3 linked regions of the Saccharomyces cerevisiae S288C genome follow. The protein of the gene in region 1 interacts with the protein of each later gene in a biochemical or structural test. Each region holds a gene or a part of one and is shown on either strand. Other genes may lie near its edges. The genes, in order: CKA2, SVF1 and FIP1.

Region 1 (3,678 bases):
CGGACTTTCCTATGGGGAATATAAAGGAACAAGGGAAGCAATTATTGGATGTAAGAAAGGAGGGAAGTGCTTCTTCATTGCTGAAAAAAGGCAGCGTATTTTACTCAAAAGGTAAATGGCTCTCTCAGCGTTCAATATCATTCGATGACACTGTTCGTAGGCGAGATATTGACAAACGTGGGAGATTTCGTGAATCATGTGTTCTAATAAATGATGTAGAACAATTCCAAAACTATTCCATTGTCTGGGACGAGAGTAGACATCGCTACCGTCGGCAGGCACTTCCAGACACGTACGATTACGAGCATCTCTATCCCAATGGCGACGAAACTCCTCGGAACACGCCTCACGACAATATAATAATTCATCAAAACTTGCATAGCATTACGGAAGGCTCTTATATCTATATAAAGTGATTTTCTGGTCATATAATAATCTACATTCGTTGTTAAATAGAGTTTGCAATTTAATATTCACATTAAGGATATTCTCTAATATCAAGCTACAAAAAAGGAAAACCCCTGCTTTTTATAAATGGAAATCAGTGGTGGAAAAAGAATTGCCTTGCTAAGAGTATTGTTGTCCAATTATTCAAACTTCGTTTTGAAAAACTTATGATCCATAGCCTCCTTTGCTGTTAATCTTTCTTGATGGTCATACCTTAATAAATTGTCGATTAAATCAACCACTTCAGGAACAGCTAATTTGGTCTCGGAGGTTATAAAGTGTGTCCACGATTTTTTTGTAAAGTCTCTCATAATGTTGTCGTATTCAGATGGTAAGTGCAACCCGTACTTACCCAAATAGCCTAACAGTTCCTTGGTTCCTAGTACTGTGGCAATCTTTACCAGTTGATCTGGATTAGACGACCCTTTGAAAAAAGGTTCTTTTTTGAAGACAATAGCTGCTAGCATGCATCCTACTGACCATAAGTCTAGGGAGTAGTCATATTGGTTCAAGTTTACTAAAAGTTCTGGTCCCTTGTGGTAACGCGAAGCGACACGAACGTTGTAATCTACACCTGGATGGTAGAACTCCGCCAGGCCCCAATCGATCAGCCTTAGTTTACGTTCCGTAGGATCAATCATGACATTCTGAGGCTTTACGTCTCTGTGCATTATGCCCATGGAGTGACAGTAGTCTAACGCAATCAATAATTGCGTGAAATAATACTGGATGTCAGGAAGTTTGAATGTAGGATATAAAGTTCTGAAATCAACATTTTTGATTTCCTCAAAGATCAAAGCAGGTATTTTGGAGTCAGCGTCTTGTACTATATCATAAAGGCCAACAACATTGGGGCCGCCTGTTAGATTGGTCAGAATTTTCAACTCTCTATAAATTTTTTTCATTTTAACTGGTTTTAAAACTTTAATAACACACTTCTGGTTGTTTACAATACATCTACCGCTGAACACTTCGGAATATTTCCCTCTTCCAATTTTGTTGATAATTTCGTAATTGGAAATCTTTCCCCAATCGATGGTCACCCCTTGTTCGTAGTCCCAGTATTCTTGTGGTCTCTCCTCGCAGGCATTCTTGTACACCCTAGCTACAGAGTAGACTCTATTAGATTTCTGGTTCAATGTTGACGGAGGTAATGGCATTCTGTTTCTTCTATTCTTTTAGGTTTATTGTTCCTTCTATTTCCCTGAGACCTTACAACTCTATGATGTTTTTTTAATTACTTTTTATTTTTTAGCAATCATACAAACTCCAACAAATGTGTGTGCCCGTTGTTTCCCAATTCAGGTTAAAAAGGTTGACGATGCTTTATTCTTCTTTTTATAACTTCCACCTAGATAAGATCGTTGGAAATTTTTCGATCGTCTGTTTGCTTTGCCAGGTTCGGGCGAAAAGCGGGCTACGCAAGGAAATTTTTTTCTTTGAGGCCTGATAAAGGCCTGTTGGCAGGTAACTAAGAAATGATAGACTGCCTTGAAAGGGGACAGCATTCACCAATTCGCCTGACTTTTGATGTCACGGAAATTATGCACACTAAATTTTACTCTTAGCGGAAAGCAGGGAAGTTTGGTCATTAGGGATATCCAACTTTGGAGCAATCGACCTACAGCAAGTAAATCAACTTCAGAGTTGAGGGGACAATTCATTCAGTATGTAGATCTCGCAAAACTGCCTTTGTGGGTCCGCTCCACAAATATGAATACATATAGATGTTATAGTACCAGTGCAACCGCACAGGCTTACTTCAAATCAAAACTAAGGAACGCGAATCGTGGCATTGTCATTGAATTGTTTGACAAGGTCGATCAGCGATCGCAGGAGCCAGCATACTTGATTATATTTCGAGAGAACACAGAGTTAAACTGCTTTCAAGTGGATCTAACAATGAAGCATGAGTTTGATGGCCAGGTCACCAAATTGAAGCAAGATATTGGAAAGACAAGGGCCTCCGTATCAAAGGAAGGTAGTATTGATATAATAATACAACAATCTCAACAAAGGAAGATCGGAACGAAAACGGAAGTGTATCGCAACGTGCATATTAATGACAAACGGCTTCAATTCAATGAAACTTTGTCCAAGCTAATTTTGGGTGGCCTCCGACTTCGAGGTATTTCTAATTCTATTACAGACTATCAAAAGTTATACAAGATAACGTTTGATGCAGCTGAATTTACGCACAGGGATGAATTAAAACGCATTTCGATGGGATCTGGTGAAGAGGTTTCGTTTGAATCATTGCAGGAAACTGTGGAAACTCTTCTGAAGCTCTTTACCAAATCATGATCAACGGGGATTTTCAGTATATAAGATCAAAATGAAAAACAAAGATAATAAAGAAAGGGTGGCAACTCTTTACTGCAATAATCGGTAGAAAACTTCGTGTGATCAACCATATATATTATACAGCGCTTCAGATGACTTCGGATAAACACCTTTTTGTGCTGATTCACGGGCTATGGGGTAACTATACTCATATGGAATCTATGAGGACAATTTTATCCACTACATTAAAAAAGGAAGATGTTAACGATGATATGATATATTTTTTACCAAAGCAGAATGCCATGTTTAAGACGTTTGATGGTATCGAAATCATTGGGTACAGGACATTGATTGAAGTTTGTGAATTTATCCGAGATTATAAAGACGGGAAAATCACCAAACTAAGCGTAATGGGATATTCGCAAGGCGGATTAGTGGCCCGATTTATGATCGGTAAGATGTTGACCGAATTTAAAGAACTGTTCGAGGATATTGAACCACAATTATTCATTACAATGGCAACGCCTCATTTGGGGGTAGAGTTTTACAATCCTACGGGCATAGCATATAAAAGTGCGTTATATAGTGCGCTGAGGACCTTGGGATCTACTATTTTAGGTAAAAGCGGGAGAGAAATGTTTATCGCAAATTCTAGTAACAATATATTGGTGAAATTGAGCCAGGGTGAGTACCTTGAAGCACTCTCGCTATTTAAATGGAGGATAGCGTTTGCGAATGTCAAAAATGACCGTACGGTAGCCTTCTATACGGCGTTTATTACGGATTGCGACCCATTTATAGATTTTGACAACAAATTGAAATATACATTCGAAGAAAAGATTCCGGGATCTGGCTATAAAGGAATATTGCCTAAGATTGTCGACCTAAACGCTTTAAACGTTAACAGCCATGCTCCTACTAAACCGACCAAGACTTATAAAAAGTGGG
Region 2 (3,758 bases), on another chromosome or scaffold:
CCGGCCTCCTCAGCTGCCATTAGAAACGACATAAAAGCCCATTCCTATCATAATCGTAACGGTGGTTTACAAAGAAATAAGTCACTTTCTCAACGATTAGGTCTCGGAGGATCCGGTGATAGCAATGCCCCCATGACAGGCGTTAGAAGAAACTTGAGTTTAAGTAGAGACAACTATGATGTTGGTCACAGCAATGAAGGTGTTAGAAGGTCGAAAACCGTTAATTCTCCTAACAGAACGCATAAGTCCAATTATACTACTGATTTCGACGGCCAAGATGATCACAATGAAGATGAGGAAGACGTTTATTTGGGTGTGCGCTACAATGAGCCCAATATGAAAAAGAAATCGACGGGCAGCAAATTACTGAGCAGAGTAAAAAGTCTAAAGGTCGGCAGGAAAAGTCAGTAAAGTGAGCTTAAAAGAGAGAAAAGAAGCTATGAGACACCAAAGCCAGGCAAATAAAAGGGAGAGATACGAATAAAAATAATTTAAGACCACGTTATATACACATTACGAATAGTTTGACTTTATATATTTACAGAGACTACCAACTTATATCAAAAGGAAAAAATTCCCATTACCAGTTTCATTCATAACGTGTTGAATGCTTGGATCTTAGTACGTTGAGGTAACCTTGACTCTACAATTTTCCATTCTATAGAGTCCCATACCCTTTCTAAATATTCTCGTTTCCCAAATACGCCATAATCAGTTAACCATGTTTTTGGTGACGCATCAATGGCTAAAAGCGGGATATATGAAACCTCTTTCCCAGAAAAACCTTTCTGTTGGGTTTCATAAATAAATTTTGTCTTGGCTTGCTTGGCAGTCATCTCAGAATCTTCAAGATTACCGGCTTCTTTGGCTCGTTGTTTTTCCATGTTGGTATATTGGTTATTGAGCTCATTCATTACCCCAGATGTAGAGAAGTTGAAGGGAGTTCCCGCATTGTACGTATTCAATATAAACAGCTTATCATATTCAATATCCCTGTTTGGCATGTCGTTGCGCATAGCACGTTTGTCGAGCTGCCGTCTTGCGACTAACCACGTAAACCCGTCGCCTGATATAGCAAGATTTGAATTTATTAATAATGTTCTGAACTCCATCAAAGACCCAAATGAAGAAATTAGAGCTGCTTGCAAACGTTCGTTGCCAGTGGTCAATGGCTCATTGCTTATTGTCCTATTGAAATCAGGGGTCTGAAGTAGCGCCTCTGGACCTAGCCTGGGGCATTCCTCTGGCGGAGTCCTGATACATCCCTGAAGGGAAGACATGCTAAATTTCAAGTTGTACAATGATGACGCATAGTTCACGATATGTTTCTTTGAAGCAGATTTCGAATTTTCATGGATGAGAGTTTCTAAGGGTTTTTGTTGCGCTTCATTTGTACAATCGTTCAATTTTGCATCGAGATATTTCACTCGGTCGAACCATGCTTTCTGTAATCCTTCAATAGAAAACAGCCCTTTCAGAGGAGCACCTTCTTTCAGGTGCTCGAGTGCATACCTAGTAGAGTACTTTCTAATAGCGCGAGCACCAGTAAAGCGAAGCATGGTGCTGGAAACCTTAAAATTCAAAAGTATTTAGATTCCCCCAGCTGTTAAATGGCAAATCACTGATTGTTTCCAGATCCTAGCTAAAACTGCGGTTCCTCCCACCGTTTCTGCCATACTTTTCATCACTTATGCATTATGATATTGCTCTTGAGAGAATCTGAGCAAAATCCTGCATAATATAAATCTCACTTTCCACGGAACTTCAGGTCCGGTTTAGTACCGCTTTTTTTCGTTGTTTTTTTGTTGTTGAGGAGGCAAACTTGCGATGAGTGGGAGAAAACAAAAGCGAAATGACAGCTGGTTGATTGAAACATTCGGGGATATCTTGCAAGATTACTCCTTGAGATTCACGAATAGCACGGCTTTTCGTTTGTTATATATAGATAGAGCCTGTTGATAGAATTCTTTTGTATTCGTTTGATAATTTGAAATCTGTAGAAGATCAAAAGATTCAGTCATTTATTGCATCGAATCAAGAAAAAAGAAACGAATAAGCTTTTGTATAATATAATATAATGTTGAAGTGGATAAAAGGTGGGATCTCAGCAGTCACTGGTATGGCTGAGCCTGAATATGGGAAAGATTACATTCATAGTGTTGCTGATAGGGTAAAAAATAAGCAGCCTTACAGAGAAACCAGTCGTGAAGATTTTTTTTGGCAAGCTCCTGACCATACAAACGTTGAATCGGTTATCTTTTATTTCAGTGACTTGAAAACAGGTATCTTTGGATTTGCCCAGGTTATTCATTCGAACATCATTGGGTTGCACACTGCATCCCAATTTACTTTCAGAATTTTTGACTCGAAGAATCCAGAGGATTTGAATATCTGGACTTCCACCAAGTTGGAAAATTTTTACATCGAAGGTCCAAACTTCTATGCCGACAATCTTTCTGTAGAATTAAGTGAAGACGGTGAAAGCTATCACATTCAATCCAGTGTTTGTGATTTATCTGTCGTTGACTTGCATATAAGAAGGTTAACCCCTGGAGCCAAGATAGGCGATGATCCTGCGACTTATTATGGTAACAATATCAATGAACCATGGGGTAGCATGAGACACGTTTTCTGGCCAAGGAATGCTTGTCACGGTACTATCAAAGTTAAGAAAGAAGTTATTCCAGAATCTGATGAAGAAGAATCCTCAGCTGATGAGGATGATAATGAAGACGAAGATGAAGAGTCTGGTGATTCTGAGGAGGAATCTGGTAGTGAAGAAGAAAGCGACAGTGAAGAAGTCGAAATCACCTATGAAGATCGTACGATTACTTTTAAAGAGGAAGACCCTGCGATTTCGACATTTATAATGGCCTTCCAAGGCATGAAGCCTCATCACGCAGCTAAGGCATGGAACTTCATGTTTTTCCATTCCGAAAAGTATTCCGCGGTGTTGATGGAGTTCACTACACCAAAATCATATGCCAACACTAAAATTTCTGCTGGTATTATTACCGATGATAAAGAAGTTTTAGCGATGACAACTAACAATCTTGTTGAGCACTTAAACTCAGAAATTGATTCTGTTGGTTGGAAAGTTCCAAAAGATATTAAGATCACCTTCAAAGGTATCAATACCAAAGTCAAGGATGAACAATTGGAATCCGAGAATGGGACTGAACAAGCTTTACAAGGAGAGGATGAAAAGGAAGATGAAAAGGAAGATGAAGAGGAAGAAGAATACAAGAACGTCGCAGAAGAAAATAAGATCTGTGCTGTTGTGGAGGGTCCGTTGAACAACCTAGTTGAAAGAATTGATGTGATGGGCGAAATTCCAAGTTTTGTTAAAAACATCGTCTCTGGTGTTGCTGGTACTAAGCCATTTATATACCAATATGCTGATCCAAAAAGCTCAACTTTACAAATAAATGGCGGGGAGAAAATTCACGGTGTAGCTTGGACCGAAGTAACATTCATTTCTGAATCAGATGTGATTAGTGAGGAGTCTTACAATGAAGCATGAGCAAAAGTGGGAAGGTCTCGTATGCTTTTTCCTATCTGTGATTTAATACTACACAAATCTAATATTGCAAATTTTAATAATTATAGCAAGTTATCGTTATACCCCTTTTTAATTGTTGCGTCACATAATCGATACTATTGTTCAAAATAAGAGTGATGCGAGAAATAGCCACAGTAAACAATGTTGCCATAATAAATAGTTGTCGTTTTTATTCATCTCATTTTTCTTATGTATC
Region 3 (3,642 bases), on another chromosome or scaffold:
TCAAACTGCACGGCTCGCAACTTTCTGGTTATCATGAAATCTCTAGAAAGGCTAAGATCGATATTAATCTGTTGAAAGTCACGAAAGTCCTACGTAATGAAGACATCCAGGCGGATAATGGAGGGCAAAGGAATTTTACAGATTGGGTACTCTTTAATGAATGCTTCCAGCTAGTATTTGACGATGGTGAAAGAATTACTTTCAACGCGGAATGCTCTAATGAGGAAAAAAGTGATTGGTACAATAAGCTCCAGGAAGTTGTTGAGTTGAATGTTTTCCATCAACCCTGGGTGAAAAAGTATTGTGAAAAGTTAGCTGAGGAGGAAAAGACTCGAACAACCGGTCATAATTTGAAGCAAGATTTTAATTAGAAGGTGATTAATGGAATGAAAACAGCATATAATCTGATGACTGAGAGGTCTTTAGTTTAAAGATTAATTAAATACACATAATAAGAGTAAATACGTGAATCATGGACGATATATTTTTATTTCAATTTCACAGATCCCCATTCATTTCGAATTTTGATTTTGATTTTGATTAGGCTGTTGGTTCATGGGTGGCATCATACCTGGCATGGGGAATGGTGGAAAGCTACCAAACATAGGTAAGGGTGGGAAGCTTGGATGCATTGGTGGAGCGGGAGGGTTTGGTGTTCCAGACATACTATTACCCATATTACTGTTCAGATTAGACATATTTGCATTGTTTACGTTGTTGTTGTTATCAATTATATTACCGAGGTTTGAGTCTGTATCATTCGCGGAATTCAACTTCCCTTGCTGTTGGAGGGATAATAGGCCCATTAGGATCCTCCTAGGATTATAATCTTGTTGTAGTTTTTCCTGTCTATGTAAATACTCCATCCAGGTAAATTCGTTAAAACCGTAATTGAAATAATCACTTAAGTTGGCCCCCGGTTGCCTCCAGGGTTTCTCCTTTAATACTTCAGGATCTATTGTCGTTATGCCAACACTATCAAAGATTCCCTCTTTATCCAGGTCTATAGAACCAGTCATTGCTTTCGGTACATTTCCATCGCTCTCTGTAGCTTTTACGGTCGTTGCCGTTACACCTTGATTTGCTTCTCCTTCTGTTATTAGTCTTTCATCTGATGTCTTTGTGATGGTATTGGATACATCTGTAGCTACGCTAATTACGTCTTTGCTTGAAGATGTCGCTGCGGTAGAATAAGAATCGAGTAGTTTTGCATCTAACCTAGTAGGGTCAGGACCCAGACTTATGATAACCTCTAGGTCAGAATCACTATCGTCATCTGAGGAGTCAGAGTAGATATCTTCATCAGAACGATCATCTCTGGCAGTAGCTGGAGTTTCTTCCACGGGAGAGTCGAATTTTTGCCTTTTAACTATATCAGGATTACTGGACGCACCTGCGTCTGCTTCATCATCTCTTGATCGTTTAGATGAAGGTAGTGCTAATTCGGAGTCGGAACCATACAAGAACTTGTCGTCTTCGTCTTCACTGGAGCTCATTTAGAGAAATGCTAATAATTTTAGTGTAGGCAAAAGGAATAAGAATGCAAAGCACGATGGTGCGGTTTAACAAAGTGAATTTGGTGATGTACTCTCTCAAGATTTATGTCGCATTATTCGCTACGAAGGTTTTTCAAGATTAAAACGAATCTCCTTTCCCATCGCGACATACGATAAGGCTAATAACGCTACGGTATTATGTCATGGAGCTTGAGACATTGAATACATATATATACCTATATATAATATATATATATGCAAATACACAAATTCTTAGCAATTTGAGTGAGACAATGGAAATAAAGAAATGAGTGTGAATGGATATATTTTGAGGGAAGGGGGAAGATTGTAGTACTTTTCGAGAATTAAGAATAGGTTTTACTAAACTTGTAGGATATTTCTTGAAACCTGACCTTGTCATAATAATCTTGATCATTAGAACTGCTGAAGGAGTAAGCCGCAGCATATCTTGACAGTTTGGAGTTCAACTTTTTTAGGAATTCTAACTCTTTTGAATTTAATTTTTGTAGTGATGGCGGTGGTGATTTTTCAACGTCGAAGGCAATTTCTAATGGGTAATAGTAGGAGGGCACCTGAGGTTCATCTATAAATGGATCTGCCTCATATACATTATCGGAGGCGTTGTTATTATTGCTGGTATTATTATAGTAATTACAATTAGTGCTTTTATGGTTGCTATAGTGACGATTATTAAAGGAATGTATGTTATCAGTATGTGGTGGAAACTGATCTTGATATTGGGAGTATGAATCCGTGTTTTTTGAATTTATTGATTCATGAATATTTGTGGGTTTTGAATAGGTATAATTAGTGGTATATGGGTAGAAGTCTTGTGTGTATGGGAATTCATTGAATTCAAAATTTTCTTGGAATATTTTGATATCTTTTTGTGCATTTGTATTAGTTTCATATTTTATTGTGTCACTAATATCGATATCATCTCCATTTCTGTTGCTCTTTTGAAAGTTATCATGGTTATTGAATGATGAGTGGAACGTAGATGCGGATTCATCATTAGAAAAAAGAGATGATAATGAAGAGGATCTGGTACTTTCAGAGCTCTTTTTTCCTCTTTCAGGACCAGTTGCCATTGTGCAGTCCTTCGTAGTTTTCGTTTCCTTGGAAATAGGCTGAGAATCAATATTTTCCAAATTCAGAAACTCTTCATTGAACAATATTTGAGGATTAATTAAATGAATTGGTTGTGTATGAACCAAGTTCTGCAGCTGAGATGAGGCAATTTTGTCAGACTTTTCAAAATGCCAACTTCTAGGGGAAATTGTAGATCCAAAAGAAAAACAAGGACGGTCTTCTTGATCGGTGGTTGTGTCATAATAAATGTTAGGTTGTTGTTGCTGTTCAAAAGGAAAGAGGAAGAAACCATCTTCTAAGGCAGCGTGAAGTTTTCCATGCATATCCGCTTGCATTTTGTTTGTGGGGAGAGGAATAGAAAAGCTTTTCTTTTATTATTTTTTTCCTTTTTCACCAGTAATGGGTGCCAGTAGGAATTTGTTTCTCTGTAGGTGACTAATGACAGTAGTATATTATGCTTTTAATCTTTAACAATACTACTGGTCGATTTATAATATGATAATGTAAAATAAATCGTAATAGGATAGTCGATGTTTGTATCTACTTCACGAAACAGTTATGGTATACGGTAGTTTAAATATCTGAAGAAGCAAAAATACCGAACTACAAGGGAAGCATTTTGAGAAAAATATTAAGATCAAAAGATAATTAATTTACCTTAAATACATAAAAGAGGAAAAGTAATATACAAGGTAAACAACAGGCAAGGAACAAGATCAAAAACGTCCGACCCCAATTTAGTAGTAAATTACAGTAAGAGAAAAAGGTATTGGGGCTGATACATATTAATTGTGCGTTGTTGTTGTTGTTTAATTTTAGATTGGCTATTATGAGTACACACAAAACGTTGTAAACGCAATCACCCATGGATAAGCGCTCCCTTTAAAATGCACTACGAAATCATTGATCTACTAACTTTAAACCGGACTTAAACCATCAAAGGGTGCTCTAGATCTCATCGATGTATTCTGATGCAGCCAAAATTGCGCAATCAATCACGTTTCCCGATATAGAAAACTAATTGGCTGTGTTA

The links.
Region 2: of the proteins of CKA2 (region 1) and SVF1, one has a biochemical effect on the other in vitro, tested with the Saccharomyces cerevisiae proteins (3 studies listed by BioGRID).
Region 3: of the proteins of CKA2 (region 1) and FIP1, one has a biochemical effect on the other in vitro, tested with the Saccharomyces cerevisiae proteins (4 studies listed by BioGRID).

The regions. Positions count from the first base shown.
Region 1 is NC_001147.6:439,463-443,140, reverse strand, and holds CKA2 (casein kinase 2 catalytic subunit CKA2), read right to left. Parts: upstream 1,608-3,678; coding exon 588-1,607; downstream 1-587. Other genes in the region: YOR062C (uncharacterized protein), read left to right, coding at 1-416; SLD7 (Sld7p), read left to right, coding at 1,978-2,751; LPL1 (putative hydrolase), read left to right, coding at 2,883-3,678. UniProt on the Saccharomyces cerevisiae protein: Catalytic subunit of a constitutively active serine/threonine-protein kinase complex that phosphorylates a large number of substrates containing acidic residues C-terminal to the phosphorylated serine or threonine.
Region 2 is NC_001136.10:1,166,979-1,170,736, reverse strand, and holds SVF1 (Svf1p), read left to right. Parts: upstream 1-2,077; coding exon 2,078-3,523; downstream 3,524-3,758. Other genes in the region: PAL1 (Pal1p), read left to right, coding at 1-411; mitochondrial 37S ribosomal protein mS43 MRP1, read right to left, coding at 594-1,559. UniProt on the Saccharomyces cerevisiae protein: Ceramide-binding protein that may transfer ceramides from the endoplasmic reticulum membrane to the cis-Golgi network membrane, and is thereby required for the biosynthesis of complex sphingolipids. Required for survival in response to oxidative stress.
Region 3 is NC_001142.9:602,708-606,349, forward strand, and holds FIP1 (cleavage polyadenylation factor subunit FIP1), read right to left. Parts: upstream 1,497-3,642; coding exon 513-1,496; downstream 1-512. Other genes in the region: BUD4 (Bud4p), read left to right, coding at 1-371; transcription factor IME1, read right to left, coding at 1,862-2,944. UniProt on the Saccharomyces cerevisiae protein: Polymerase-regulating component of the cleavage and polyadenylation factor (CPF) complex, which plays a key role in polyadenylation-dependent pre-mRNA 3'-end formation and cooperates with cleavage factors including the CFIA complex and NAB4/CFIB.